Linked DNA regions of Saccharomyces cerevisiae S288C. Changing the gene in region 2 together with the main gene of any one other region gives a genetic interaction. Each region holds a gene or a part of one and is shown on either strand. Other genes may lie near its edges. The genes, in order: ATG32, EGD1, MFB1 and POX1.

Region 1 (8,099 bases), on a different chromosome or scaffold from region 2:
AGCTTTTGATTTCTCTTACTATTCTTGGTTGTTCATTTGTTATTTTTCTTTCCCTGATATGCTGCACAAAACTCAGTAAGAATAGTTTTCAATTTTGGTCTTTTGATTGGTTTCGATAAAAATCCGTTCATTCCTGATTCCAAACATTCTTTAATGTTGCTATCGTCAGCAAAAGCGGTTAGAGCGACAATAGGTGAGGTATAACCTAAATCGCGCCTTATCATCTTGGTAGAAAGTAAACCATCCACTTTAGGCATCTGGACATCCATGAAAATCATATTATAATTTTCGCCCTTAGATGTCAATTCTTTAACTTTGTCGAATGCTTCTTGGCCATCGCAAGCCAGTTCAATATTTTCAATGCCCTCCAAGTTCAACATTCTTTTGATAACTTCCTGATTTACATGATTATCTTCTACAACCAAAATTTTGACACTTGTTTCATTTTTATCGTCGTCTTTGACTGTGGGGATGTTTCTACTTGATGTGGCTGTACCAGTACTTTGCAAAAATGGTCTATCAAGATTGACAGAACCTAGACCTTCATGTCGAGAACGATGCTTAGAAGACAAGGAATTTTGTTCGTTAACTTCAGCACCTGTAAGACATATAGAAGGTTTAATATTTTTTTCCTGCAGTTGTTCAAGCCCTCCATTGTCGTTTTTTTCTTCTCTTCCCATGTTAGGATTTCCAACATCTTTCGTCTCATGCTTACCTTTACTTCTTACCTCCGGTAGCACGTCGTTGGTTAGGCTACTTCTATTTGTAGCTGGTGTTGCAACAGATGATGTGGATTGTCGGCTCTTGATGCTTTTAGCAACACTAAACTTGACTCTTCTGTTCTTTCTACTCTCAGGATTAAATTCGTCCTCAAAAGGAAACTCCATATCTGCAAAACTGATCTCTTTAGTTTGATTTAATGGCAAGGTAAAAGTGAATTTACTACCAACACCTACTTTCGACTCTAATTTCATCGTTCCATGCATCATATTTGCTAACTGTCTACAGATTGATAGACCTAAGCCAGTACCACCATATTGCCTGGACAATGTTTGATCACCTTGAACAAATGGATGAAATACAGATTCTTGTAAGGAAGGGTCAATACCAGGCCCAGTGTCTTCCACTTCAATAGAAATAACCCACGTTTTGGGGTTTTCGATAGGTCTTCCTAGGTTACCACCTTCTTCATCATCTGAGCCAGGTGCTTTATTGAACTGACTATTGAAGATAGCGTTATCATACGAGCTGGTAGTTGTTGATACTATAGAAGATACATCATCATTCGAAGCTTTTTCCCTGTCATTCACTTTCTTATAGATACTTTCATTCGCAACAGTATTTCTTTTTGTTATCTCTTCCTGAATTGTCGAAGTGTCTCTATTACTTCCTAGGGAAGTAGCGCTGGATTCTAAATCGACACTTTTCCTATGGTTCGATAAAGTTGGAAGATCGTATTTATCTGTAGTTTCTAAATTTTCGGTTACTTCTGTCCCTTTTTTGATATACACTTCTTTGTATTGCTTCTTCTCGCTTAATTCTTTGTCGTATTCACCCAACAGTTTCATTCTTACATCAACGGTACCATCTACAGGGGTGAACTTTAGTGCATTGGACACTAGATTCATCACAATTTGAATAATTCTGTTGGAATCACCCCAAAGAACCATTGTCCTTATCAAATTAGGAAACAATGATATTGAAAGACGAACACGCTGATCCTTTGCAACTTTACCAAATATCGATTTTATTTGTAAGGCAACATCGGTAATGCAAAAATCTCTTTTCTCCAGTTTCGTTCTTTGAAGAACGTTTTTGGAAAAAGTTAACAATTCCGTTAGAATATGAAGCAAAAGCTCACCTGATCTAAAAATGAGTTTTAAACTATTTCTTATTTTGTTAACATCGGTTTCTTCCATTGAAATAGCCGTCATACCCAGAATACCATTTAAAGGCGTTCTCAATTCGTGCGAAATATTGGCAATAAAGACGGTTTTTGCTTCATTTGCGGCCTCTGCCTCAATCTTGGCAGCTTCGAGTTGTTTTGTCCTCGCCCTAACTCTTTCTTCTAGAAGAGCATAATGTTGGTCTAATGCGTCTGTCATAGTATTGAAGGTTTCTGTTAAATCGGAAAGTTCATCAGAAAATAGTCTTCTATAATCTGGTAGCCTAGCTTCAGTTAAATTTGCAGAAGTTGTGAGAATGTGAGATCTATTGGAACTTCTGTCAGTGTCATTATGTCTCAAGGAATGTGGTCCAAGCAAATCGTGATTTAGCGAGCCATCCATTGATATTTTAGCATCGGTGTGGTTATTCGGTATTTTGTTCTCCTCCTCTGGAGGTGACATTTTCTCATTTCCAAGGTTTATAGCGCTTTTCATGCTACTATTTGCTGAAAAAGCTGCACCACTGCCATGGCCACTGCCTCCATGGCCACTTACGCTTGTGGTGCTGCCAGCTTCAGCAGTATTAAATTGTAATAACGAAGAAGGAACAGCAAATCCAGAACTAAATCCTCTTTTGAATGAACTGGCTCTGCTTATCGTTCTTGGGGTGCTCGGTCGAAGGCCTCTCCCCTCTGTAATTAATTCAGTTGCCTTTTGTAGACGTACAATTGGTTGCACTGCCCAGTGTGCTAGAGGAAGGGTTAACAAAATGACAAAGACACCAATAGCGATGACAGTGCCGGTGATGATTTTTGCTAGTTTCGTTGCTGGAGAAAGGAAAACCGACTCAGGCTGTGAAACTATCGCGACCCAATTAACTAGGTTAAACGAACATGGTGAATAGCCTAAAGCAGTATTCCGTGTAGAAAGGATATTGGTTTGTTTCAAAGACCCTCCCTTCCCGTTTCTAAATGCGCTACTAATGAATGTATCATTTTTTATAGAAAAAACTTTTTGCGGGAGGTCTGATCGTGATCCATACGGTGGAAAGACAAAATGATACCCTGAAGCTTTGCCTTGACTATTATATACTGCAGAAATAATGGCAATTGTGGAATGTTCTAAAGCAGTTGTATCGTTGAACACACTTTTCAGACCCTCTGCCGACATTATTATAGTAATGTATCCGTAAACCCTTGAATCAGTCAAGATAATAGAAGGATTGGCAAAAATAGGTAAAGACATAGACATCAAATAGTCGGTGCTATTTAGTACTGGATCCGTCAATATACCTATAGTTTCCAGTGAAGAAGGTAGCGGTGTATCGGTGGATAATGGGAACAAACTGTCTAAAACATCTTCTGGAATTAGATCACCAGTTCCATTATTCGTAGCGTTCAAAACAGCATTAAATGAAGAATCGTAAACTTTAGCAACATAAAACAAGTTTGAAGAGCTCAAAAATTTTTGAATCACACTCAAGGAATCTACCCAATTATCTGCACTCTTGTTACCTGCAACGTAACTTGTTAGTGAGCTTTGCAGGGCGTCTCTTGATGCCAAATAGTACGCCTGGTAATATAAGTAGTTTAGAGTTTGGTCAATCTGTGATGACTTTAACTGAGCGGCAATGTACAGTCTATCGGACCTTAAATTTTTATAGTTCGAGGTAAAATAGACCCCTGTCGTTACAGCCAGAATAATCAGTGAGCCCAAAGCCACTATACTAACTAGTGCCGTTAGTTGAGTTCGGATGCCTATCCTAAACGGAGGAGTGAGTTCCAATTTTGATGGCAGGCCAAATCGCATTTGTATTGTTAAATCAAAACAAAGTAGATTATACCCAACGTGTTCTTATTTCAATTCTATGCTTATTATAATTGGATGATAGATCTATAAGATCTTCTCCACTGCTGTTACCTGTCTTTATAGAATTCGTAGTAGGAAATGGAAAACAACAAACAAGGACAGAATCAAAACTCCGGACGGAATCTGCTAAAATGTAGTGAGTTGGCTTTTGTTCGTGCTGTTTTCGATGAACTATTAATCCCAAATTTATGTAGTAATAATCACTAAAAAATGCGAAGAGGAAATATTAACGCGCGGCGCAAAAAGATCGGGTAATTTGGGCGTTTAAGTACATGAAGGTAGAATATTTCAAATATGATGTCAAAGGCGATAATAGTAACTTCTAAATGCATTCACATTTACAGCGATAGTTTCCTTGAAGTCGTCGGAATACGCTCTATGCGCTATGGTTGATTTTTAATTGTTTTTTTGTGTTGAGACGCGAAAGTAAGGAATATATAAAGAAACTTAAATTTGCTAACAGAAGAAATATTTTATAAGCTGTTTGTTTATGTATTTATGAAACCAAACAAAAAATTGCCTGTATAATGAAAGAATTTTCATATTTGATAAGCTTCTATGTAATTAAGGAAAGGAACCAAACGGGGAATATAGATACGCAGTGAGAGAAACAGAAGTGATAGTAAAAAAGTGAGTAGGAACGTGTATGTTTGTGTATATTGGAAAAAGGTTACAATAGAATATAACCCAGTGCCAAAATCCGATTAGATTCATCAATGGAAAATTCAGAGCTTTTATTAAGGTTCTCCAAAAATTTTAAAGGTTTAGAAAGAGCATGCAAGACAAAAGTATTCATTTTGCCCCAAGTCTCCTTGATTATGGTAAGACTTTTCATAATGAATCCATCGGAGTGGAAGTTTATCTGAAGCGTACCCTTATCAAACCATAAAAACTGCTCAGTTGAAGAAGGAGATGCAGTGGCGGGCGTATTGATTGTGTCGCTAGAGGAATCTAAGGAAAGTAAAGAGGCCAATATGGAGGGCCGCAAACTTAAAGACTTAACTGTTTGGTGTTCGTATGCTGCAGTGACAAAGTATGTCACACAACATCCAAAACTAATTCCTATAGTAATTGAAATGCCCCAAGTGAACCAGCTCGTGAAGAACTTCTGCTTCTTTCTCTTGGGTTTTTTATTCGATTTAGGGGATTTCTTTTTTGAGTTTTCGGCTTTTTTGTTACGACAATAGGACCGAGACTTTGTATGTATAGCTTCGTCATCATTATCTTCCTCATTCACATCTTCTCCGTATTCCAAGGATAAATCTTGTAATCTTTGAAACATTTTTTTCAAATCTCTTTTGTTGGTCACAACAACTGGAGGAAACAATAATTTAACAAGTTTATTCCTTAAGAATGACTTCAGGACGTTTTTCACTTGGATGACTTGCCCAGGCTGGCAGATCGGTATTACAGGCTTGCCTTGAGAATATTGAACGATCCTGTTTAGCAGAGATACCATCTCTCTCAGCTCCTGAAAAATTATGACAATCCCCGTATATTGCGGGAATGTTGCGGAATCGTGATATTTGGGTAATTCAAAAAGAGATTGGTATTCTTTTGGTATTGATTGATAAAAGCTGGAACCAGTCCTTCCCAGTATTAGAAGGCGAAAAACTGGATTCTTTTGTGTTAGTGATAGTTTGGGCATAACAAAAGAGTTTGTCGAAGAAGTCAAGCTTTTTGTTATCGTCACACTATCTTCCTCAAAAGCCTCATCTTCATCACCATCATCATCTTGCTCGTTAAAAGGAGTTTTTTCCTTACCAGGCAAGGGCAGCGATATTATCTTCTGTAACTGTTTAAAGGGATGAGACGGTGAAACGACATTTGCTCCTTCTTGTCCTTGTTTAATAATATTTATTATATCAGCAGCAGGCGCTTGAAGCAGCTCTTGTTCTTCTTCAGAAGTATCACTAGATGATAGAATACTTCCATTAGTCGTTTGAGAAGAGCACCTTTCTGGGATGAAAGAAGCGCCCAAGTCCAAAGGCTGAATGGCTTGCCACGATCCTGATATACTATCGTTTACATTGTGGTTGCCGGATATGTCAATGGACGTAACCAAGTTCTGTCCCATTGGCGAAGGCGAATGCCCTGTCTTACTCAACAATTCCAATACTGATAGATGAGGGTCAAGTAAGCCTTTGTCTTCCCCAGTTTGTGCTTCAGAGCATGTGTGAATAGTCGTTGACGAGGAATCAGGTGGCATGCTTTTAGATGAGGATCCTTTACCTTCCCTTTGTTGGTATTCCAAAACCATATGTTTACTGTTCCTGGCAGATTTTTTTTGCTTTTGTGATTAGGACTTCAATATTGCTTATCGATAAGAGAAGTCACAACTGATAAGAAAAATTGTCAAAAACGAGAAATGGGCTTTGTAAGAAAATATTTCAACAATAACCCAAAAATATAGATTTTAAAAGTATAATGATTATGCCTCAGGAAGCTTACTGCACCTTATTTCCTAAATAACTTTTTTATTACTTAATAGATCTGTTTCTTTTTTTTTTTTTTGTAAAAGGGGTGCGTCAAACAATAGATATATGCTCTAGACAGACGGTGATCTAAGATATTTGAGAAAGCACGAAACAAGTGCCAAACAACTTCAACTTTGCTGAAGTAGTATAAACTTTGCTTTTACTATGCAAACTGTGAAAGACGATTTGTCCTTTCCATATTTGTGTTTTGAGCGATGGGGATGTCGTCCCTTCAGCCGTCTAAAAAAAAAGTCATCAAGCGTGAAATCTATCATCCCGTTGTTGGTTTAAAAGAATATCGTGCATACTGTATAAGAGTGGTATATACTGCAACACAGACACGGGAAGGCCCAATCACCTAGTTTAAATAACGATGTTATCTATTAGTCTGACGACCGTATCGGGTTTTTCGCGGTCAGTCACGTATACAGCACAACTAATGACTATTGGCTGCTGTTCGCTGGTGTTTTCAACATCGGAGAGTTCATCAAGAGTCTTAAAATCTGCTAAGGAAACATAGTCGATTTTGAAATCGTGGGAATCAACGTAGGGTGCCCATATTTGAGTCACAGTATCGATGATTTCTGATCTGGAGAGACGTCCCCCTGGTGCTAGTCTCCTAATAGCATTTTCCGCAGCTTTCAGCCCGCGGTAAAGGTTTTCAGAGATCTTTAAAGACTCTGGACAAAGATATTTGTTTCTACTACTCAGAGCCAGTCCATTATTGTTTCTTACAATAGGCATCATTTGTAGCCTTGTATTAACAAACAGTTCGTCCACCATACACTGTAAAACAATGAACTGTTGAATGTCCTTCTGCCCAAAATAAGCCACATCCGCCATAACGATATTGAATAGTTTAGTCACGACAGTTGCCACGCCCCTAAAGAAGTTAGGTCTCGTCTTCCCCTCTAATTTTTCACTCAATCCAAGAACACTAACAAAAGGGCCTTTCTGCTCTTCTATGTCGAGCGGAATTCCCTGTGGATACATCACGTGTGCATTAGGAGCAAATAGAACATCCACCTTCAACGACTCAAGCAATTTGATGTCGTCTGGCAAAGTTCGAGGATAGTTATCTAGATCTTCCGTTGGCGCAAACTGGGAGGGATTTACAAATATACTGACCACAGTATAGGTGTTTTCCTTCACAGACTGCGAGATCAAACTAGCGTGACCCGAATGCAGGCAACCCATTGTGGGAACGAACCCAATAGTTTCTCTAAATCTAGTTTCCCTCAGCTCCTGTGTTCTCCATTGAACAACTTCTTCGACAGTATGGAAGATTTTCATCAATTCTATATGGATATGCAGTATAAAAACTTGTATAAAACAGTGCAGTATCAACACACACCACTTCTTGTACACATAAATATGTACGCTACATCGAGAAATGTTCATTAATCTCTTGTTGGAAAATATGACAAAAGAAAAAAACTCGTTAAAGTAACATTTACCCGGATATCTGTTCAGCCAACATTATAAAAAAGATGGGCGCTTAATTTCCACTCTTACAGATATCACTCCTTCTAATTAACTTACATCAGTAAGAAAGTAAAAAGAGCAACAATTCGCCACAAGAAGGTCTCTGTAGGGTCAATAGTAGCAGGGCTCTTGTCAGGGAAAGACTGTGAATGCAAAGGAAAGACGGTTGGAGGTCCGAAAAGCATTACTGATGTTAGGATTGAAGAGAAATTCACCGTACTATGTGCCAGATGGTTATAACTGAACATTGAAATAATATCGTGATTATGGGCTGGTTGAGAGCCCCGTTAAGTATTGTTAAAGATGTAAGCAGTCTATTGCGATTAGCGGTTAAAATACCATTTCAAGGGTTACCCATACTGAAAGTGCCAAAAGAAAAAAA
Region 2 (7,117 bases):
GCCTCTTGATTGCCTTTTGTGCATGTTTTAAAGCCATTGACCTGATTTTTAAAGGCGATATTGACTCGATCTGTTGCGCGCTTAAATCTTTCAAAGCTTTAATCTCGATGGGTAGTCCATGACAATCCCAGCCAGGCTTATAAAAAATGTACTTCCCCTGTGAAAGTTGATATCTGTTTATGATATCTTTCAGAATTTTATTTAGAGCATGACCGAGATGGAGCTCGCCGTTGGCATAGGGCGGTCCATCATGTAAGATGAACAACTTTTCTTTAATGAACTCTAATTTTTCATCAGTCGTATTAAGCTTTGAAAATTCTTCGAAGAAATCACGTAGCTGCTCCTTGTAAACTAACTGCGAAGATTTTGGTATTAATTCCCTCAATGTAATCTCTAAGTTTGATCTATTAGGGAATTTGGTCTTGGGCAAGTTTAATGTTTTTTGGTAGGCATGTTTGGCGAGATATCGCTTGCTAATAATGCTAAAGATATGTTGAGGCACAAGCCTGGAGCGCTTCATAAGTAGCTAAAGATCGTTCTTAGTATACTGTGTTCCATAACTTCTAGCCTTGGTCCTTTATATTTGCTGTTTTTCTGCGTTTCTTAACTCGCTTGCGGAAAAAGAATCGACATTTTCAGAACAGGATTTTATTGTTTTTAAAGTACATTATATGGGGCGACACATCATCGCCATCTATGTTAAATATTTAAAGAATACGGGGTAGAATTATTCACGCTGGGGGATGCTGAAAGAGGAGTATAATTTGAGCGGTGCTGATAACATGGCATCTGCTGAGTTGTCATTTAAAAAGCAAAAAGTGGTATTGAAAAAGTTCATGATAGCGCAAGTGACTAAGGGGATTATGCAGCGGTATGCGAGCCTATTAGTTACCATGCCTAGTGATGATGACAATGCAATTATTGGCACAAATCATTTGAAAACAACCAAATTTTTAGAAATAATCCTACACAGAGCCAAATCATCGCATTTACAGTTCAAAAAGGTCTGTTGCATTGTCATCAAGTTTCTAGATTGCTGCTCGAAGGAAACTAACTACATGAAGTTTTTAAAGTTCAGCTTACACAAACTATTTGTAGCTGCTTTCATCTTAAGTGTGCCAAATGTTGTAGGCGATGACCGCGACAGGATTACCACGAGGGATGAAACCTATCATCTCTATTCCCAGATAACAGGCTTGCCACTGGAAGAAGTGATAAATTGTTGTTCTATTGTGAGGCCTGTACTTATTCGGCGGAGTAGACAACAACGCAGGCAAATGTTATCTCGACGTGAACAACATTCGTACTTCCTCAGAAGTTCTTTTATGAACTCCAATTCATCAGCATCACCTTTTTTCTCTACCAATAGGTCAGCTGATGATCTACATGTACATACAAGGGCATACTCGCTTCATAGCCATTCCGATGGGGAAGGCCAAGATAGGCGGTCGGAACATGAAGAAACGCATAGCATGGGGGCTGATGCCGATACATATCGACAAACTACGTTTATCCCAGACACACCAAATGGTTTGCATTCTAGATCATTAATTGAGTGTGGGATCGAACCCACCCAAGTAAGTGACTCTGGTGAATGGTCGGGTCAAAGTAACGGATATGTTTTGGTGACAGAATTACAGGAGTTTAACAAAATGGGTAAAAAGTTAGTACAAGAAGCTTTTAGGATAGTTTAATAAAGTATGGTTTGTCGTTTTGTTCATCATTCAAGGGTCATTTTTATTTCCATTTATGATTTCTTGAGTACAAAAGGCAAAAAAAACATGTATAATTATACACAAGAAAAAAAAACAAAACAAAAGAACACTTTCACACAAGCAAGTATATATTATGAGAATTTTTTCGAGTCTTACAGAACCATATCTTGCCTCTAAATTTTAGTCTAAAAATTTTGCTAGCCCATCAATTTTTTTTTTGTTCTAATGCAAAATATAACATGGGTAAGAAAAAGAAAAAGCCGTTCCTCAGTACGTAAAGAGATTTGATCATTAACAAGTTGGGCTCAATATACACAGTCGATAGTCTATATGTGCATATGAAACTGGCGCAAGACATGAATGTAGATGAAATATTTCTCAAACAAGCGGCAGAAGCTATAGCGGTAATCTCATCAAGTCCCACTCATACGGACCCCATAATACGAGAGCTACTCCACAGAATTCGACAATCCAGCCCATTGAGCGCAGTTATACCAGCACCAGAAAATGTTTTAAAGGCTGGGGAGCCGGAAAATATGGCTAGAGGTCTTATAAGGATTCCAGAAACACAAACAAAAAGAACAGGAGGTAACAACCATAGCAAGGAAGGCGCACAGCTCTACAGCTGTGCGAAATGTCAGTTGAAATTCAGCAGAAGTTCTGATCTGAGAAGACATGAAAAGGTACACTCACTCGTGCTGCCGCATATTTGCTCAAACTGTGGCAAAGGGTTTGCCAGGAAGGATGCTCTAAAAAGACATTCTAACACACTGACCTGTCAAAGAAACAGAAAGAAACTAAGTGAAGGTTCAGACGTTGATGTAGATGAGCTCATCAAGGATGCGATAAAGAATGGTACCGGCCTGTTGTAAGGCTAGAGGAAAACGTATTTGTCTCCATCAGCACACCTACACATACATATATAGATAGATATATACTTTAGCCATTGAGATAAGTAGAATAAAAAAACGTTGTAATATTCCGATACAGTTAGTGACATGTTCTCTACTTTTGCCAATTTTTTGCGCACAAAGTGGTGACGTACAAGTTCATCATTTCACGTGTGCAGCATAGTGTGGTATATTGTTTTTTTATATTTTATTTTTTATTTTTTTTTTTTTGCAGAAAACAGTGTTTGTATTATATGCTTTAGATATGCTAAAAAAAATGAAAAAAAATGGAACAAAATATGTGTTTTTTTATTTAACGTTAAAATTAAAGATTAAGTTATTTATTCGACGTCAGCATCAAAAGTTTGACCTTCAACTAACTCTGGAATAGCTTCATCCTTCTTTTCAGCATCAGCTGGAGCCTTGGCTTCGTGCTTTTCCATTTGGGCAGCCAATTGAGACAAGGCTTGGATGGCTTCAGGGCCCAATTGAGAGATAATACCTGGGAACAAATCTTGCAAGTTCTTTTCCTGTGGTAGACCGTAGAATACAGAAGTGTTGTGTTGAGCAGCAACTTGGACACCGACCTTGTTGAAGTGCATGACCTTACCGTCGTCCTTGAAAAAGTTGGCTTCGGCGACGTTGTCAATGGTGACAGCGTGCAACTTAGCTAATTGACTTTGCAACTTGGTGTCATCCTTGTTGGCACCGGCAGAAGAGCCTGCCTTCTTGTTAAGCTTTCTTCTAGTACCACCAACTTTGTTGTTAGCAGACAACTTTTGTAGCTTAGCTAATTTTTCTTGGTCAATTGGCATTATGAATTATGAGTCGCGTCTGGTGTGAGATGTTCTATTCTTAAACCTCCCTAGAAAGAATATTCGCTCTCTTGTGACAAAGGAGGGGTTACTACTTAACAAGCAATTGCAGCTGTTTCCACTACGAAATCTTCCAATGTCAACGAAAAAAATTCAAAAATTTTCTGCTTTTTTTTTCAACATCTGCCGTACTAAATGATTCCACAATAATCCATCATATACCATTACCCTGATTCCCATCGAAGAAAAGGCGGTGTCCCCTTACCCGTCCGCTCATGCCAAGAGATTAATTCATAACCGCTCTTCCTTGGATCAGAAGTGAACATATGAAGTTGCAACTACTACATACTTACTACCGTAGTCCATCATCAAGGACCCAAACATTCACGACTCCAGCGCGCCACGTTCTTCGCCATACTGCTTAACATTTTGGTACGAGTGCGAATTAGGGAAGTCGATGATAAAATAGAATATGCGAAAAAGAGGAAGAGCAGCCGTGAGAAAAAAGAAAAAAAAAGGCCTAAGGTATTCTCTACTCCAAAATCGTCGAGGGAGGGCAAAAGAAATTTTTTTTGTTTAAGGGAATTGCGAAGTCAATTGATTGATGAAGTAGCTTCTCTGGAAAAATGGCGGACAGACGCTGCTCAAATAACCGTCGAAGGGGGAAAGGTTATCGGTGGAAACATATTTGTAAGTACATAATAGTGAATTTACTTCTTGTCGGCGTCCCCTAAACGTAATTGGCGGTGTGATGGTACTTCGTTATATAAAGGTGTGTAATATCCTCTTTTACCATCTATTATTTCTTCCAGCATTTCTTGCTGGATAACCTACTGTATCCAAGCTACTGGGCTTTTTTAAACATACCCATAACTTTTTTTTTTTCATTTTTCGTTGCTGTGTGCTAGTACAATTTAAGCAAAAGGAAACTGTTTTGCGTTATGTCTTCCACTGAAGCAAAGCAATACAAGGAGAAACCCTCGAAAGAGTACCTCCATGCCAGTGATGGCGATGACCCTGCAAATAATTCTGCCGCTTCTTCGTCATCTTCGTCTTCTACATCAACTTCCGCCTCGTCATCGGCTGCAGCCGTTCCACGGAAGGCCGCAGCCGCTTCTGCCGCTGATGATTCTGACTCAGATGAAGATATAGACCAATTGATTGATGAACTACAATCTAACTACGGTGAGGGTGATGAATCTGGTGAAGAAGAAGTACGTACTGATGGGGTGCACGCTGGCCAAAGGGTTGTTCCTGAAAAGGACCTTTCTACGGACCCTGCGTATGGTTTGACTTCGGATGAAGTCGCCAGGAGAAGAAAGAAATATGGGTTAAATCAAATGGCTGAGGAGAATGAATCGTTGATTGTGAAGTTTTTGATGTTCTTCGTAGGGCCTATTCAATTCGTTATGGAGGCTGCTGCTATTTTGGCTGCCGGTTTGTCTGATTGGGTTGATGTCGGTGTCATCTGTGCTTTACTGCTATTAAACGCATCTGTCGGATTTATTCAAGAATTCCAGGCAGGTTCCATCGTAGACGAGCTGAAAAAGACGTTGGCCAATACTGCAACAGTTATTAGAGATGGCCAATTGATCGAAATTCCGGCTAATGAGGTAGTTCCTGGTGAGATTTTGCAATTGGAAAGTGGCACAATTGCTCCCGCAGATGGTCGTATTGTCACTGAAGACTGTTTTTTGCAGATCGATCAATCGGCCATCACTGGTGAATCCTTAGCCGCTGAAAAGCATTACGGTGATGAGGTGTTCTCCTCATCCACTGTGAAAACCGGCGAGGCTTTTATGGTTGTTACTGCCACTGGTGACAATACCTTCGTCGGTAGGGCTGCCGCCTTAGTGGGGCAGGCTTCCGGTGTAGAGGGCCATTTCACTGAAGTATTGAATGGAATTGGTATTATCTTACTTGTTCTAGTTATCGCTACTTTGTTGTTGGTCTGGACCGCATGTTTCTATAGAACGGTCGGTATTGTAAGCATTTTGAGATATACTTTGGGTATAACCATCATTGGTGTCCCAGTCGGTTTGCCAGCAGTTGTTACCACGACCATGGCTGTCGGTGCAGCTTACTTGGCTAAGAAGCAAGCCATTGTTCAAAAGTTATCTGCTATTGAATCCCTTGCTGGTGTTGAGATTTTATGTTCTGACAAGACTGGTACTTTAACCAAAAACAAGTTATCTTTACACGAACCCTACACTGTCGAAGGCGTTTCTCCGGACGACTTGATGTTGACCGCTTGTTTAGCTGCCTCTAGAAAGAAGAAAGGTTTGGATGCTATTGATAAGGCTTTTTTGAAGTCATTGATTGAGTATCCAAAAGCTAAAGACGCCCTGACCAAGTACAAAGTTTTGGAATTCCATCCGTTCGACCCTGTCTCAAAAAAGGTTACCGCTGTTGTAGAATCCCCAGAAGGTGAAAGAATTGTTTGTGTCAAGGGAGCCCCATTGTTTGTCTTGAAGACTGTTGAAGAAGATCACCCAATTCCGGAAGATGTGCATGAAAACTACGAAAATAAGGTTGCTGAACTAGCTTCTAGAGGTTTCCGTGCTTTAGGTGTTGCTAGAAAGAGAGGGGAAGGTCACTGGGAAATCTTGGGTGTTATGCCATGTATGGACCCCCCTAGAGATGACACCGCTCAAACAATCAATGAGGCCAGAAACCTTGGTTTGAGAATCAAGATGTTAACCGGTGACGCTGTTGGTATCGCGAAAGAAACGTGTAGGCAATTAGGACTTGGTACAAACATTTATAACGCAGAAAGGTTAGGTCTGGGAGGTGGAGGTGATATGCCTGGTTCAGAGTTGGCTGATTTTGTTGAAAATGCCGATGGTTTCGCAGAAGTTTTCCCACAGCATAAATACAGAGTCGTTGAAATCTTGCAAAACAGAGGTTACTTGGTTGCTATGACTGGTGATGGTGTTAACGATGCCCCATCTTTGAAGAAGGCTGATACTGGTATTGCTGTCGAAGGTGCTACCGATGCTGCCAGATCAGCCGCTGATATTGTTTTCTTGGCCCCTGGTCTCTCTGCTATTATTGATGCCTTAAAGACTTCTAGACAGATTTTCCACAGAATGTACTCCTATGTTGTTTATCGTATTGCCCTATCCTTACATTTGGAGATTTTCCTGGGTTTATGGATTGCTATTTTAAACAACTCTTTGGATATCAATTTGATCGTTTTTATTGCTATTTTCGCAGACGTTGCCACTTTAACTATTGCTTATGACAATGCTCCTTATGCTCCTGAACCTGTGAAATGGAACCTACCAAGATTATGGGGTATGTCTATTATTTTGGGCATAGTTTTAGCTATAGGTTCTTGGATTACTTTAACCACCATGTTCTTGCCTAATGGTGGTATTATCCAAAATTTTGGTGCCATGAATGGTGTCATGTTCCTGCAGATTTCACTAACTGAAAATTGGTTAATTTTTGTCACTAGAGCTGCTGGCCCATTCTGGTCTTCCATTCCATCGTGGCAGTTAGCCGGTGCCGTTTTCGCCGTTGATATTATTGCTACCATGTTTACCTTATTTGGCTGGTGGTCTGAAAACTGGACTGATATTGTGTCAGTCGTTCGTGTCTGGATTTGGTCCATTGGTATTTTTTGTGTATTGGGAGGATTTTACTATATTATGTCCACGTCTCAAGCCTTTGATAGGTTGATGAATGGTAAGTC
Region 3 (8,148 bases), on a different chromosome or scaffold from region 2:
GACAACTGCAGTCCTTTCTTGTAACCCTTGCGACGTCTTAACTCATCTCTGCTGAGAGTATGTTGTTCAAGAGCTGAGTGATCTTTCATTGGGAACATTTGATTATTTACTGACTTTATGTACGTATAGTAGCTCTTTTTTTGTATCGATTTATAAAAATGCCTGTTCTTACTATTCTTATGGGAATGACACAAAATGTAGACGCATGTCTTTTTCAGGCGTCCTTAATATGAGCGATCAAATTTCGCATCAAAAAAACTTTATTGAAGTTAGAATATATGAAAAAAAGCCACGAAATTTCTAAAGGCAACCACAAATTGTCTTATTATTGATAGAATATAAAAAATAAGTCATTTATTTATATGTACATCTGTGCAAATGGTAGCGGCGCTCTTTAACTGTTTCTACATACCATGCATGCTTGTCTAAAACCATTTCGAAGTTCCGTTGCTAATTCAGAGAAAACTCTTCCAAGCAAAGTCGGTTTGAGGCGTTTTCTGTTATATATTAAAATCGGTATTAGCGTCAAGCCGTTTGATTACATGATCATTCGTATTCGACCCACTAGGGTTATCCAATTCGATTTTGCGATAGCATATCTTATTACCGTCTGTAACAACCGCCTTTAATTTGCTTCTTTGATGAGGTTTGGATAATTCTATTACTGGGGAAGTGTGACTTCTTTGAAATTTATTTTCATCATTTTTCTCTGTTATTCCTTTACAGTTCGAGCTATTTTCTTTTATAATTAATTGTTCATAATTTGCTATCTTTGTACTGTTGACTCTTTTAATTGCTAGAGGATTAGTTGTTTCACCGTTAAAATCGGGATAATGCCTTTCAATCTCCTCTAAATAACCTCTTGAGACGCTCCTTCTGCCAACTTTCGGTAGTATGTCAGAAGGGGGACTTATGATTTTCCTAAAATCTTCGTCATTAGCACTTAACGAACTGGATAATTTCAATCTTGGATTGTCCTTTTTCTTTGTTTTTAATGGTCTGCTATCTCTAAAAATTAACTTCTCAAAAAGTTCGGCTTTATCCTTGACTTTATTAGATTTTCTCAATCTTGTGATTGAGTCAGACGATTCAGTAGATGTAGGCGTCATCTCTTTATAATCAGGATCTCGTGACTTAGTGAAATCCATTGTAATATTATTCCAATCATCGTCCAGTAGTTTGGGCGATGAACTTGAAAATACAGAATTTGTTGAACTTCTAGAATAATTAGAAAATGTCGGAGAAGGGATAAAAGGTGGCTTTTTGACTAAGTCTTCTTCAAATGTTGTATTTTTTTCCAATCCGTGGAGAGAATGTATTTCTCCATTATTCTCCTCTATGTATGTATCATCAGAATCCGCTGAATGGGTCCTAAATGCTTTATCATTGAGTTCGATGAATTGATTCATTCCTTGTAGTATTGCAGTATGAGCGATTTGCTCCCTTGTTATTTCTGTAGGTTCGTTCAAATCCATATTTAAATCTTTCACAGAGCCCTTTTCTTTGCTCTCAACTTCATTTGTTCTATAACTTATTGTCTTTCTAGCCGGATCAATAACGCCTAGTTTATATTTCCGCTGAACATTTCTTAATGATGCGACCAGGGATATGTTGTGACTATTTAAGGTTTTCATTGCCTTTCTATTAAAATTCAAAACATCAAAGACATCAACAAGAACATTTTTTGTCCACCACATATTCCCGTTTGAGCCGATAACAGCATTTCTGTAAACAATGTTCTCATTCGCCAGCATCCTTAGCAAGGTGCAAGTTTTCCCTATGTTTTGTAAATCATTCATATCCAGGTGAGACAATATTCGGAACAATAGGTTTAATGGTAAGTTTGTCAGGGACCTTTCCTCCAGCGGCATCTGTACACTACAAGAAAATAATGTCATCTATGTGGTTGAAGGAACTATAACTAATTCTGGAACAAAAGTGAACTTTCCTTGTGCAGTTTGGCCAATTTGTTTTGATATTTTGTATGAGGATATTTAGCAAGTAGTAACAGAGACTCCTTGGTTATTTGAAAACTTTCCCTTTGTTTAAACTATAGCAAAGTATAACTTTCCTTTTCCTATTTTGTGAAAAAGTAAGTAAATATTGTTATCTCCTCCCAACTGGTTAAATACTGGGTAGGTGCACAAGCGTTTATAGTTTCTAAGAAGACAGCACCAGGAATAATGATAAACAGTTGTTTGGGTCAAAACAAAACGGGTATTGCCAATGCCTTTTAAAATACTTACCCGGCCATAAAATGAATAATAATAGTGTATGAAGACTGTGTTGGAAGATGTTATGGTAGAAGCAGAGGCTTCCGCACTGCATTTAAGAAGCATAAAGGCACTTCTGCTATTTCATTAAGAAGATTCGCTATGGTGAGCATGTTCTCATTATTTCTGCTATTAATTGAGCAATCGCCGCTTGTAGCGTCATTGCAACAAAGTCAACGGCATATAGTGGGTGTTCCCTGGGAAAAGCAGCACTTGTATGACTCGAATGAACCAGATTTGACTAAATGGCACTGTTTGAACCACGAAGATATCGTATTGGATATAAGCCAGATTAATGATGGGGTTTGTGATTGTCCTGATGGTTCAGATGAGCCCGGCAGCGCCGCCTGCGTGGAAGATATATTCAAAAGCGTTGCAGAGGGAGGTGGTAAAGTGAATAAGTATTTTTATTGTGATAACAAGGGGTTTATTCCAAGATATATACGAAAATCGGAAGTCGCAGATGGTATTTGTGACTGCTGTGACTGTTCTGACGAGCTACTTTCTGGATATGAGCTCTTTGATGCTGGATCTAATTGTTCTCAGTTAAAAAACGAATTTGACATTATGGCCTCTAAAGAGTTATCAAGTTACCGGGAAGGTAAAGAGGCCCTAGAAGAACTGGAAAGAAAATACGGTACAAAGGAAGAGGCTATCACCCGTGGTAATTGCTTAGAAGAAGATAAGGAAAAAGCTTCTGCCGAGATAAAAGTACTCTCCAACAGGCTCTCAGAAAATCGAGCCAAATTAGAGCAGTTGAGAGGCGAGTACTTTAACCAATTAAGCCATGATCCCATTTTGTATCAATTTGAACAATTAAACAGTACTCGTTTGGGATCGGACATCCTTACATCGTTCACTATGGTTTCAAGAGTAAGTAAAGGTTACCAGGACATATTCAAGATTTTAAGTGATTTATCAGAGGCCTATACTCCCTCGCTAAATGATAAAGTTGTCAATGATAATATTAAAAAATTCAGAAAAGTTAGAAGACGGGCTGAAAAGGCTAAAATTAATGCAGATAGCAAAATTGATGATGAGCAGGCAGATAATCTTTACTTGTACTTTACAGAAGAAGTACCTCAAATTTTTTTGAAAAGAGAATCTGAGAACACGTTGAGGTACGTCATAGGAAAATCCAATTTTGTTCAAGCGCTAGTGGAGGGTAAAATTAACTATACCAACGATATCTTGGAGTATATCAGAGAATTCCGTTTGATTATGGATGATATTTCTCAGAATTACAATGTTAACTTTCAAGATGCAGGGGTCAAAAGTGCTGTCGATTCGTATAAAAACTACCTAGGTGAATACGGCGAACTGGCTGAATTAGAACCAGCTCACCCGTCAGAGAGCCTTTTGAGATCGTTGAGCGAAGTAACATCATTTGTGAACGAGAATGCACCAAAGGTATTGCCACCAGACGCTGTTGAGTCAGAACAAGATACGAACAGCGATCATATCGGTACTTCTGGAGATTTGCGCAATAAACTCAAAGAGATTCTATCTAAGCTGAATATTTTTTCATCTAGAAAAGATTTGGTCTCATTAGAGAAGAGATTCCGCTCTTGTGAAAGTCAAGTCAGTCTCCTGGAGAATGAATTAAAGCAAAAAATGGACTATAAGAAATTATTAGATGAAACTGAAGATGAAGGAACTAATTCTACTGCAGGAAATCTGACTGAGCTTTTAGAACTAATGGGATCACAATCCTATTGTCTTGACGACATACTGGACAACTATGTGTACACTATATGCTTTCAACGTCCAATGACCGAAGGTGTCATATATCAAGCTGAGGATAAGGTTGACGGTAAAAAAGTTTTGATCGGTCGTTTTAAGACATCAGGTTTTAATGTTGACTTAAACATGGAAAAATACGCAGAACATTTAAAGGCCACATATGATGAGAAGAGTGATTTGATTTCAAACTTAGCAGCTATACAGGACGATGACGGTAACATGCAACATTACGTATTCGGGAACTTAAACGAACTGAATAATGGTCTGGTACTAGAATACGAAAATGGAGACCAGTGCTGGAATGGTCCGCGCAGATCGGCTACTGTATTTGTTCGGTGCAGCGACAAATTCAAGATTCGGAGTGTACATGAAGCGACTAAGTGCAACTACATCTTCGATGTCGTTGGTCCTCTAGGCTGCAACAAGACTTTCGAATACGAGCCCCCTAAGTTCAATTTAAGTGAATGACTGGAAAATGAGTAGTTAGGCTTTTTTAGTAAGTAAACAACTAGGAAGGCCGATGCTGTGCCGTGATACTCTTTTCCGCAACAAAAGCAATATTTCCCTCGGCCAAAACGCGAAAAGACGATAAATAAGTATATCGTTCCAAATACTGATAGTTCTGTACGACCTGTTGGAATAACGCGAAAAGAAGGGTACGGCGTAATCACCCCACACGGCTTGTATTTTTTTCGGAGAACTAAGTCATAGACGTAATGCTAATTTTTCCGTCTAGCCGATGTTTATGCGGCTTTTATTTTTTTTTTTTTTTTTTTCTCATCTTTGTTCTTCCGGTTTCCAAGATGTCTCACAGATTATTACAGTGAATTCCAAAATCATGTTTACTACTGGAATTTGTATGCATATGTTTTGGCAATCTTAAGCCTACGGATTTTAAATGTGATGGATATAACGAACAGTGTTTACTGGAGACTCACTTCTCTGGGCTTGAGTTTACGATGTATAGTCATATAAAAATGAAGAAATTTCTTGAGTGACAATTGCCGCCGTACTTCGTATTGTCTTTTCTTGACAGTGAGGGCGTATAAGATACATCGTACATACATAGAGACTCATTTAGTGATGCTTGAATCGAGCAGTGATAAGATAAAGTTTGCGCCTATTAAAGAGGTAGATTACAAAAAACCGGTAAGTAAGAGTAAGAACTATACTCTTATTAATGACATCCAACCATTGGAGTGGTATTGTCACAATGATAGTGAAACGGGCTACCAACACACCATAAGTAACAAGACAGATGGTGGTAGAGGTTTATTCAGAGTGATGAAAAAATCGATGGAGACCAGAGTCGAGACCCAAACGTTATATTTCACAGATTTGCATACAGGCTTGTGTGGATTTGTTCAATTACTGTATTCTACGGTTATGGGTGGTATCTATAAAGGCTTCCAATTGAATTTCAAGGTTTTTGGCTCAGAAAGTAATAATACTGACTACGACGTTTGGGAAAGTTTTAAATTGGATGACATAGCTGAATTTCAACCATTAAAGTTTGTCTCTAGAAATGTTATTTTTGAATTTTTGAGCAACAAAAATGAAAAATTAGGTTCCATTGGCCAGTTATCTATCAAATGTGATTTACCAACATGTAACAATACAATTCAAAATTTGAAAATCGATTTGTTGGTGGATTTGTTTCAAGGTTTTAAGATGAACCCCAACGGTTGCAATTATTATTTTGACAAACAAATCTCGATGAGTGACGAATTCGTTTCCTCAGACAAAATGATCAGACATGTTTTTGTGCCCAGAGGTAAATGTAATGGTAATATTTCCTACGATAAAAAACTCAATAGTGGGGACTTTCAAAATAAAAATATTTCATTAACTGATGTTCCTGTCGTTTATCTGGACGCTGTTCAAGGTCTTTTGCCGAATAAAGCAGCCAGTAAATGGAATTTCCTATGTTTTCAGAGCGAAAACTACTCTGTTTTAGCAATTGAATTCACTACTCCTCGAGATCATGATAACGTCACCGTAACAGTTTGGTCAATTACTGAAAAAAACAAACTGATATCTATTGGTTCTTCTGTGCAGAGCCCAAAACGTCATGTTAGGTTCCGTGCTACGAGTACAGATAAGGAAAGCGGCTGGGTATATCCAACCTCTATCAAGTTCCCCGGTGGATTTTCAGAACACGACTTGAGGCTGGTTAATCGATACGACGTTCTCGGTGAGTTACCAAGCATGGTCAGGTCGTTAGCTCAGAAAATTGTGAGCATCAAACCTTTCATTTATCAATACTGTCAACCTTCTAAATATAAGCACGAGAAAGGTATTTCTATCGTTGAGAGCACCTTCATTAGTTGAACAAAAGCGTGAACACTTCCACATGAAATTCGTTTTTTGTCCTTTTTTTTCTCTTCTTTTTCTCTCCTGTTTCTTCTACCAACTTTACCTAATAATTAATGTGTAATCGAATTTTTTTACATAATCACTACCTAATAACTAATTTATCATCACTTTTTTTTTTCATTTTGAGGCCACACTTTCCCCCATGGACTATTGCATCATTGCGCCATGCTTCTTACTTGCGTAAGCCATAGAACGGAAATATCATGTTCCCCTTGCCGCATGCATATTGAAAACATCACGGGAACGAGAAGAATGGCATTTTCGAAATAAAAAGAAATCATATTTCAAATGTTGGGGAGAGAAAGCAAAGGGGAATCAATAATCATTAAGGGAAGTCGATGAAAGTTTCCTTTTCCGAACTCTACCTCGCCTTATATAAAACCTTGGTCTAAACGGATAAACCGAGATGTAGTTGAGTTTGTGAATCCAGTTCTTGTCCTTCTTCCTCTTTCAAAAAGTGAAGCAATCAGTTGAGAGTGTAGCTATAGAGGTGTGTACTCTAGAAATCAGACTTTCATAGCAAGCAGACTTTTTTTTTGTTGAATCTTACTAGCGGATTTTTTAGAGTTTTCTTCTTCGGACTAATCTGTCAATGGTTCCAGTAAGATTAATGAGTCAAAAGCCCTCTATAATTGTATCGAGAAATTTCTTAAAAGAAGGAATATAATTATTGCGGTCACTAGAAAGTTATAAGAAGGTTACCATTTAACTGAACAGCAGCGGTATAGTACGGAATAAAAAAGTCTTTTAAAATGTTGCTTAGTGCGCCTGTTAACAGTACCGTGCGGCGCAAGCCACACAGTCCAAATAAAAAAAAGCCAAAAGAGACAGGTACAGCTGCTTCCTTTTCGTCGTCCTCTTCAACTGTCGTCCTTTCATCCAATAATGATGGCAGCTTTGATGCTCTTTGGGACCCCTCTATAAGTAAGGCCTCGGATTTTGAGAGTAGCTATATTAGTGCTAAACGATTAAAACCAGAAAGTAGTAATAGACAGAAAAAAAAAAATTCTTATAAATATTCTAGGGAGGAAAACACCAACGAGGTAGAGGAAAAGACGTCTCTTGGCAGCAGCTCTAAGACAGAAGCAGATAATATATTTAATGACCAGCTCACGTCAGCTGGCAATACTACATATGTCAGTAATAAGCGCGATGTAAACTTCGGGGCGAATTCGGCTGTAGTACTGCTCGGTTTGCCAACAAGTAAAAGTGAATCTCACCGACAATACCACAGTCCTTCGGCTTCAACAACTAATGAAGATGAAGAGGACATTGGTGTTGATATTTTAGTAGACAACCACATCGATAGTTGCGAAACAGTATCGATAAATAATAATAGAGGTATTACACACCAATATCCAGAAACGGAATCAGATGTCGACTTTGATGAGGCCGTGATATTGACACCAATGGATGGTACGGATAAGGGAGTGAAAAATCCAAGACCACTCGAAAAAAAATATAGTAGCAGTTGTTTTGAGGACCGTACGCCCCTTAACTTGGATGATGGTCATTTCAGTGAATGCAATCATTTTTCTACATTAGATGTGTCTAGCTTTTTTCATCTCAACGAGCATGTGCATAAAATCGACGAAGTAGAGCTCGATGGACCTGATCGCACCTTTAGTCTAGACAACGTCGCTATTAATACAAGGAAAAAGGATATTGATTGCCTCTATAATAGTTCAAGAGAAGACTTATCCAACCTCACATGTTCTTCGGAAGGCCCAAGGAATGATAGTTATGATAGTGATTA
Region 4 (8,623 bases), on a different chromosome or scaffold from region 2:
TGTATAACTTCAATTTAAAAGATAGTTATCCATCTTGTGGTATGAATTGGCCGAAAGATATTTCCTTTGTCAGTAAATTCTTCAGCACACCTGGTGTTATTGATTCGTTGCATCTTGATTCTGATAAAATTGATCATTGGAAGGAATGCACTAATAGCGTTGGAACTAAATTGTCTAATCCTATTTCAAAGCCATCTATCCATTTATTACCTGGTCTACTTGAAAGTGGAATAGAGATTGTCTTGTTCAATGGTGACAAAGACTTGATTTGTAATAACAAGGGCGTATTAGATACTATAGACAATCTAAAATGGGGTGGAATAAAGGGATTTAGCGACGATGCTGTTTCGTTCGATTGGATCCATAAATCGAAGAGTACAGACGACAGCGAAGAATTTAGCGGATACGTGAAGTATGATAGAAATTTGACGTTTGTTAGCGTTTATAATGCTTCTCACATGGTACCCTTCGATAAAAGTTTAGTGAGTAGAGGCATTGTCGATATTTACTCGAACGATGTTATGATCATTGACAACAATGGGAAAAATGTTATGATTACTACTGACGACGATAGTGATCAAGATGCTACTACTGAAAGCGGTGATAAGCCAAAAGAAAACCTCGAAGAGGAAGAACAGGAAGCGCAGAATGAGGAAGGAAAGGAAAAAGAAGGCAATAAAGATAAAGATGGCGATGATGATAACGACAATGATGACGACGATGAAGACGATCACAACTCCGAGGGCGACGACGATGATGACGATGACGATGATGAAGACGATAATAATGAAAAACAAAGTAATCAAGGCCTCGAGGATAGTAGACATAAATCTTCAGAATATGAACAAGAAGAGGAAGAGGTAGAAGAATTTGCAGAAGAGATTTCAATGTATAAACACAAAGCGGTAGTAGTTACCATCGTTACATTTTTGATAGTGGTTTTAGGAGTTTATGCGTATGATAGAAGAGTGAGGAGAAAAGCGCGTCACACAATTTTAGTTGATCCAAATAATAGACAACATGACAGTCCCAATAAGACAGTTTCATGGGCAGATGATCTGGAAAGCGGACTCGGGGCAGAAGATGATTTAGAACAAGATGAGCAGTTAGAAGGCGGAGCACCCATAAGTAGCACTTCTAACAAAGCAGGATCTAAATTGAAAACTAAGAAAAAGAAGAAGTATACTAGCCTTCCGAACACTGAAATCGATGAATCTTTTGAGATGACTGATTTTTAACTTGGCAAATAAAAATATATAAAAAATACAGAAAAATAGTTATAATACCTCGCACACGCTTTTCGTAGTAACAGCGACATAAAGATAAATTCTTTAAAGGGTACAATCCATCAAGAACTGACTGTTTTATTTAATTCACACTACTGAACTTCATATTAAAGTGTCGTCATTTAAGTCTAGTAGGTTATATTAATCGCGCACAATAGTTTTTTTTTATGCAAACTGTATCACGAATATTTTTTCAGTTTTCGGACCATTTTTTGACATTTTTAACCAGTTTTTAACATTTTTATGGTAGCGTTCTTTTATTTTTCACGTAATTGCATTGAAATAGACATAAACGTATAAAATAATATACAAGTAATTAGAGCTTTTGAACGAGATTGTTTAGTGGTTGTTTTAACTCCTTCACAGAAGTTGAAAACTTCAACGCATTCATAGCCCCACATATCAACACAAATCCCTGGAAATGAATGGAACTGATATCCTTCGTTTTTTGCAATCTTCCCCCACCATTAGTTACAGCAAACATTTTATACTTATAACAGCATGCCCTCTGTTTGTATTAGGACTATTATTGTTAGGTCTTAGAACAGCAATGTTCAAACAAGTAAGAGGTAAAACGACAACAAGTAGAAATAGAGGTGTCATTGCGGCAAAGTTATTAGTTGCATGGTATCTTGCCACCATAGTTATGTATATTGCTAAAAGCGAAATGTGGAAATATGCCTTTGCTGTTTCGCTACTTCTTAATAGTTTGGCACTATTTTTTTGAAAAAATGGAATCGATATTTCTGCATATTAATATCACCATCATTTCTCCTCCCTTATATGTTCCATTACCCTATTACATTATAAATCCTTGTATTTCTGCTTCCTCTACCTTCGATGAAAGCTTCTCATACCTTATGTCATCTTCTAACACCGTATATGATAATATATTGGTAGTGTGACTACTAGTTGATAAACTGTTGGAATAAAAATCAACTATCATCTACTAACTAGTATTTACGTTACTAGTATATTATGATATTCGGTGTTAGAAGATGACGCAAATGATGAGAAATAGTCATCTAAATTAGTGGAAGCTGAAACGCAAGGATTGATAATGTAATAGGATCAATGAATATTAACATATAAAACGATGATGATAATATTTATAGAATTGTGTAGAATTGCAGACTCCCTTTTATGGATTCCTAAATCCTGGAGGAGAACTTCTAGTATATCTACATACCTAATATTATTGTGTTGATAATTAGAGGTTAAAAATTAGTATTAATGAAGAAGTGAGTACTGATCTTCTTATACTAAATAAGAGAGGTATATAAAACACACGCCGATTGGTCATATTAATCATGACCAATATAATAGTGATTCCGGTAGTTACTATACATTGATGTGACGACTCATATTCCTCATATATGTACCTACCATATCATGTTCAGCTAATAGGTCTTTAACACAGCTTCAGTATTGTCTGAGCTTCTCGTTTAACATTCCTTCTGCAATAGGCGCAATCACACTTAAACGTATACGATGTGTACATTAATATACGATGTAAGCATTAGATTGTTACCATAGCAACTCATGTCACTATTAATTACTCTCGTTCCAACATATTGCCTTATTAAAAATGGAATCCCAACAATTACATCAGAATCCACACAATCATCATGATGTTTTAGAGCTTCATTCCAACAAGTGCCAACACAGCACATTTATTATTTGTTATGTATATAATTCTGAGATATTGAGTAAACACTCAATAATTACCTGCCATCTTAGTATAGTGGTTAGTACACATCGTTGTGGCCGATGAAACCCTGGTTCGATTCTAGGAGATGGCAATTTTTTTACTACTATACATTGGTAAATGTAGTCATGTCATTGATTCGTCATAGTTATGTGAATAGTATTAGATATGTAAATAGATAGAGAGTACCGTTATGCACATAAGATGGCCTCTCACTAGGATTTTGTAACTTTTTGTTAAAACTTGGCGACACTAGTTGAATTGAAACAAAAGTCGCAAAACAGAGGGTTCGAAGGAAAACAGGAAACCTCTACTCACTTGTTTATTTTCGATAAAATTTCCGCATTAGCTGCACCACCTAACTTTTGGTCAAATTCGAAACCTCTACCGAGCATGCTGCTCAACAGCGCATGATAAGAAGGCTTCCCTGCCCCATCTGCCTCCACTGGATTATTGCGGCAAACTTCATTGAAGTAATTGTGATAGATATCGCCATCAAAGTAACCTATAGGAGAATTTAACATCGCGTCAGGTAATTCAAAGGAGTCTGTCAGACCTATACAGTCTTTCCTCACAATTGGCAAAAGAGCCAATAGTTGTGGCTGCACAACTTTAGAGATCTGATCAGGAGTGAAGATCTTGAATTGTTGGAATTCTCCGGAATGCTTGTCAATAAAATACAAGGAAAATAACTTATAAACATTCCACATAGATTCCTTTGTAATTTCATCGGAAATATGTGAATCACGAGAGTTTAACTTGTCGTAATAGGTTTTCAACATGCAGCGCAAGGCATGAAATTTGGATACTAAGACTAAAAGCTTAGAAACGCTATCAATACTTCTTGATTTTTCAACTAAAGTACCAATATGTGCCAGTAATTTGATTAAGGTGATAGACCAAATTTCAGTATAATCACCCAACTCCTTTAAACCACTCTTTATTTCTCCAGAAACCACAGATCCTATGTACTGAGGTTTTAAGTAAGAGAATGAGTCCACATCCAGTGTGTTGTCAAATCTACCCTTTGTGGCTGAATCGATAAATTTTTTCAATATTGATTTTGCTGAAGTTAAAGATAAAACATTATTATCACCCTCCCATGTGCACTGAACCACCCAGTCGTCATAGCCTTTACCAAATCCGTTATACTGTGAATACCCATGTCCTCCGCAAGTCTGTCTCAACTCATCAATCAGTGTAGCAATTAACCAAGTATTGGTGGCTTTCAAGCTGGCGCTATCAATAAATAAATTCTTCAACTTTTTACTCACGGTAACCAGAGCAGCTTTGTATGCAGATGAGGAAGCGTTGTATAACTCGTCCAAAGTGGAATAATAGTTGTCCATTAACTTAAAAGCTACAGGTGACACCAAATATGGAACACACAATTGTGGTAAAACACGATATTGGTGAAGGGGATAGTCGATTAATTGTGTTTCAGACAATCCCTTTCTAGGTGCGAATTGCTGACGACCAACCGCGTAACGTACAGCAATAGTAGCAAATTTGGAGCCAAACCTAAATGAATCCATGACCATGTTAACTCTACCACTTAACAATGCACTATAACCAGAAATTTGATCCAATTGTGGCTCAGTTTTGACGGTGACTGAACCATCTGGAGAACGGACAACTTTGGTAAATCTACTTAGCATAAATTCTCTAGGGATAACTACGTTTCTGAACTGGATCCAGCCATTATCAATACCGTCACGACCCATCTTCGCTCCAATATCCCCTATGGAAACACCAGCTAACAGTTGGAAAGTCGAAGGGTCTCTCAGAGGAACAACGAATGTTTTTACACCGTAGTCTTTACCTTCAACGATCAATCTGGCGTACACGGCAGCGTGCGTGGCAGAATGGGCAGCCCCACCAATCCACCATTTGGTGGCAGTTAGATCAGGTGTATCAATTACAAAAGTATCATTTTGCTTATCGTACACAGCCCTAGTCTGCAGCTGGGCAACATTGGAACCATGTCCTAACTCAGTCATTGCAAAACAGCCATATATACCTTTCATCAAAGTGGCACCTCTCTCCTGCAACCAATACCGGATTTGCTCATCAGTACCATTGCCCTTGATACAATTACCAAATAGCCCCAAGTGTACACCCACGCGCGTACCCAATTGAGGATCAATATTTGCTACAAGTGACAATCTCTTATCGAATATAAAAAGGTCTTTGTTTGTTAAAGGCGAAGCTTTGTCTGGATCATTTGCTTGCAACTCTTTCATCAGGTCAGTGTCGCGAAAGTGTTTGCGCACTGTTTTGATATCGTGCTCCATATAACTAGCAAGCCTAGCTATTTTTTTGGCAGTAATTTCTCTCTCTTGCATTTTTTTAGCATCGTAATAGTCCGTATCAGTTTTCAATATAGGATCATTCACTATTTGGTCTATTAAGGCGTGCGTCAGAGTTCTCCTCTCCGGGGATGACTCTAAAAATGTGTTAACTTGGTCAACTTTGATTTTCGAATCCGCCCTTTCTTTCTGGATAAATTTTTGAGGATTCAGAACCACCGAATCGGGATTAATAGTAGTACGTCTCGTCATATCGCAATACTAATTTATTATATTTTCTTTTTTTCTGTGATACTTATTAGTGTCAAGTGTGTATTCAAAAACGGAGAGCAATATTAGTGATGATGAGCGGAATGAGGAAAACTTTAAGGCCTGTTCAAGTTGTTTAAATAATTTTTACAGGTTAGACCTTTATAAACACTCTTAAAGCCCCAATGTATTAGTGCTTTGACTTAACAACGCCAACGTTCTCTTGTGTACTTGCTTGTAGGTGATTTACCCCAACGGCTATTAGCCGCTAATGACCGAATTCCTTTCGCTTCGGAGTTTAATCAACTAATACCGTAAATATAGGGCTTAAAATGTGTCAGGGTTTGAACGCAAAAAAAGGAGGTTTATAATAAAATATTAGCACATTATAGGTTTTAAAGTTAAAAAATAATAGGGTTAATTTTATTACCCTACCCCCTTTTTTTGGTCGAGATCTCGCATTTTTCGTCGCTAGGAATAAATACAAAGAGAATTAAGAAAAGTAAAAAGTGGAACTGAAGGAATCTACAGAAATAAGGAGATATTTTGATTAGTTGTTCAGAGTAACTTATTGAAACCTCGACAATCCGGATCAGAGTTGAGAGAGAAAGAAGATATTCAACTATAAAAATAAATTATCACGAAAGTTCTAACCAATGAGTGACCTACCCATTGAATTTACCGAATTGGTCGATCTGATGTCCTTAGGAATTTCCCCTCAATTCCTTGACTTCAGATCAACTACTTTCGAGAGTGACCACTTCGTCACTGTTAGAGAAACAAAGGACGGTACAAACTCTGTTGCAATCGTGGATTTGGCCAAAGGCAATGAAGTGACAAGGAAGAATATGGGCGGTGATTCTGCTATCATGCATCCATCTCAGATGGTTATTTCCGTTAGAGCAAATGGTACTATCGTGCAGATATTTAATTTGGAAACTAAGAGCAAGTTAAAGTCTTTTACTTTAGATGAACCTGTTATTTTTTGGAGGTGGTTGAGTGAAACCACTTTGGGTTTTGTTACCGCAAGATCCATACTGACCTCGAACGTCTTTGATGGTAACGTAAATGCTAAGCCTCAATTGCTTACCTTGAGACACGCTAACTTGAACAATACCCAAATTATCAATTTTGTGGCTAACAAAAACCTTGACTGGTTCGCAGTTGTTGGTATCTTACAAGAAAATGGCCGTATTGCCGGTAGAATTCAATTATTCTCAAAACAACGTAACATCTCCCAAGCTATCGACGGTCATGTTGCTATCTTTACGAATATATTACTAGAGGGTAATGGCTCGACCCCGGTACAAGTTTTCGTTACTGGTAACAGAAATGCCACCACCGGTGCTGGAGAATTAAGAATTATCGAGATTGATCACGATGCTTCATTGCCTTCTCAATATCAAAAGGAAACTACCGATATTTTCTTTCCACCAGATGCAACGAATGATTTCCCAATCGCTGTTCAGGTGTCTGAGAAATACGGCATAATTTACCTATTAACCAAGTATGGCTTCATCCATTTGTACGAATTGGAAACCGGTACCAATTTATTCGTTAATAGAATTACAGCAGAATCTGTTTTTACTGCAGCTCCGTACAATCACGAGAACGGTATTGCATGCATCAATAAAAAAGGTCAAGTTTTAGCAGTAGAGATTTCTACTTCTCAAATCGTTCCATATATCTTGAATAAATTATCTAATGTGGCACTGGCCTTAATCGTTGCTACAAGAGGTGGCTTACCAGGTGCAGATGATTTATTTCAAAAACAGTTTGAATCTTTATTGTTACAAAACGATTATCAAAATGCAGCTAAAGTTGCAGCCTCTTCCACTTCTTTAAGGAACCAAAACACCATCAACAGGTTGAAAAACATTCAAGCACCACCAGGCGCCATTTCTCCTATCCTACTTTACTTTTCAACACTATTGGATAAAGGGAAATTGAATAAAGAGGAAACAATTGAATTGGCTAGACCAGTTCTACAACAAGACAGAAAACAATTGTTCGAAAAATGGTTAAAGGAAGATAAACTAGAATGTTCAGAAGAACTAGGTGACATCGTTAAGCCTTTCGATACTACTTTAGCGCTAGCTTGCTACTTAAGAGCAGGTGCCCATGCAAAAGTTATATCTTGTCTTGCCGAATTACAACAGTTTGAAAAAATTATTCCTTACTGCCAAAAGGTTGGATATCAACCTAACTTTTTAGTGCTGATTTCTTCTTTGATTAGATCATCACCAGACAGAGCTTCTGAATTTGCCGTATCTCTATTACAAAATCCGGAAACTGCTTCTCAGATCGACATAGAAAAAATCGCAGATCTATTCTTTTCCCAAAACCATATCCAACAAGGAACCTCTCTACTTCTAGACGCGTTAAAAGGAGATACCCCAGACCAAGGTCACTTGCAAACTCGTGTTCTTGAAGTCAATCTACTACACGCACCACAAGTTGCTGACGCCATATTGGGAAACAACATCTTTTCTCATTATGACAAACCAACTATTGCTTCCTTATCCGAAAAGGCGGGACTATACCAGAGAGCTTTAGAAAATTACACAGACATCAAAGATATCAAGAGATGCGTTGTCCACACCAATGCATTACCTATCGATTGGTTAGTCGGATACTTTGGTAAGTTGAACGTTGAACAATCTTTGGCGTGCTTAAAAGCTTTAATGGATAACAATATTCAGGCTAACATCCAGACCGTAGTACAGGTGGCAACTAAATTCTCTGATTTGATCGGTCCATCTACTTTGATTAAATTATTCGAAGATTATAATGCTACGGAAGGTTTATACTATTACTTAGCCTCTTTAGTCAACCTAACCGAAGATAAAGATGTGGTTTACAAATACATTGAAGCTGCTGCTAAAATGAAACAATACAGAGAAATTGAAAGAATTGTGAAGGATAACAATGTCTATGATCCAGAAAGAGTCAAGAATTTCTTGAAGGATGCCAATCTAGAAGACCAGTTGCCTCTAGTCATAGTTTGTGACCGTTTCGACTTTGTTCATGAAATGATTTTATATTTGTACAAATCACAGAACTTAAAATTT

The links.
Region 1: of EGD1 (region 2) and ATG32, changing one suppresses a phenotype caused by changing the other (phenotypic suppression), as found in Saccharomyces cerevisiae (one study listed by BioGRID).
Region 3: mutations in EGD1 (region 2) and MFB1 together harm fitness more than expected from each alone (negative genetic interaction), as found in Saccharomyces cerevisiae (2 studies listed by BioGRID).
Region 4: mutations in EGD1 (region 2) and POX1 together harm fitness more than expected from each alone (negative genetic interaction), as found in Saccharomyces cerevisiae (2 studies listed by BioGRID).

What each region holds. Positions count from the first base shown.
Region 1 is NC_001141.2:69,759-77,857, forward strand, and holds ATG32 (mitophagy protein ATG32), read right to left. Parts: upstream 6,016-8,099; coding exon 4,426-6,015; downstream 1-4,425. Other genes in the region: SLN1 (histidine kinase), read right to left, coding at 33-3,695; pantoate--beta-alanine ligase PAN6, read right to left, coding at 6,596-7,525. UniProt on the Saccharomyces cerevisiae protein: Mitophagy-specific receptor that recruits the autophagic machinery to mitochondria and regulates selective degradation of mitochondria.
Region 2 is NC_001148.4:478,482-485,598, forward strand, and holds EGD1 (Egd1p), read right to left. Parts: upstream 3,421-7,117; coding exon 2,947-3,420; downstream 1-2,946. Other genes in the region: isoleucine--tRNA ligase ISM1, read right to left, coding at 1-520; YPL039W (uncharacterized protein), read left to right, coding at 744-1,694; YPL038W-A (uncharacterized protein), read left to right, coding at 1,701-1,892; MET31 (Met31p), read left to right, coding at 2,054-2,587; H(+)-exporting P2-type ATPase PMA2, read left to right, coding at 4,362-7,117. UniProt on the Saccharomyces cerevisiae protein: Component of the nascent polypeptide-associated complex (NAC), a dynamic component of the ribosomal exit tunnel, protecting the emerging polypeptides from interaction with other cytoplasmic proteins to ensure appropriate nascent protein targeting.
Region 3 is NC_001136.10:904,955-913,102, forward strand, and holds MFB1 (Mfb1p), read right to left. Parts: upstream 1,899-8,148; coding exon 501-1,898; downstream 1-500. Other genes in the region: septin SPR28, read right to left, coding at 1-98; GTB1 (Gtb1p), read left to right, coding at 2,376-4,484; YDR222W (uncharacterized protein), read left to right, coding at 5,100-6,347; CRF1 (Crf1p), read left to right, coding at 7,145-8,148.
Region 4 is NC_001139.9:105,090-113,712, reverse strand, and holds POX1 (acyl-CoA oxidase), read right to left. Parts: upstream 5,556-8,623; coding exon 3,309-5,555; downstream 1-3,308. Other genes in the region: KEX1 (serine-type carboxypeptidase), read left to right, coding at 1-1,238; YGL204C (uncharacterized protein), read left to right, coding at 1,708-2,013; CHC1 (clathrin heavy chain), read left to right, coding at 6,209-8,623.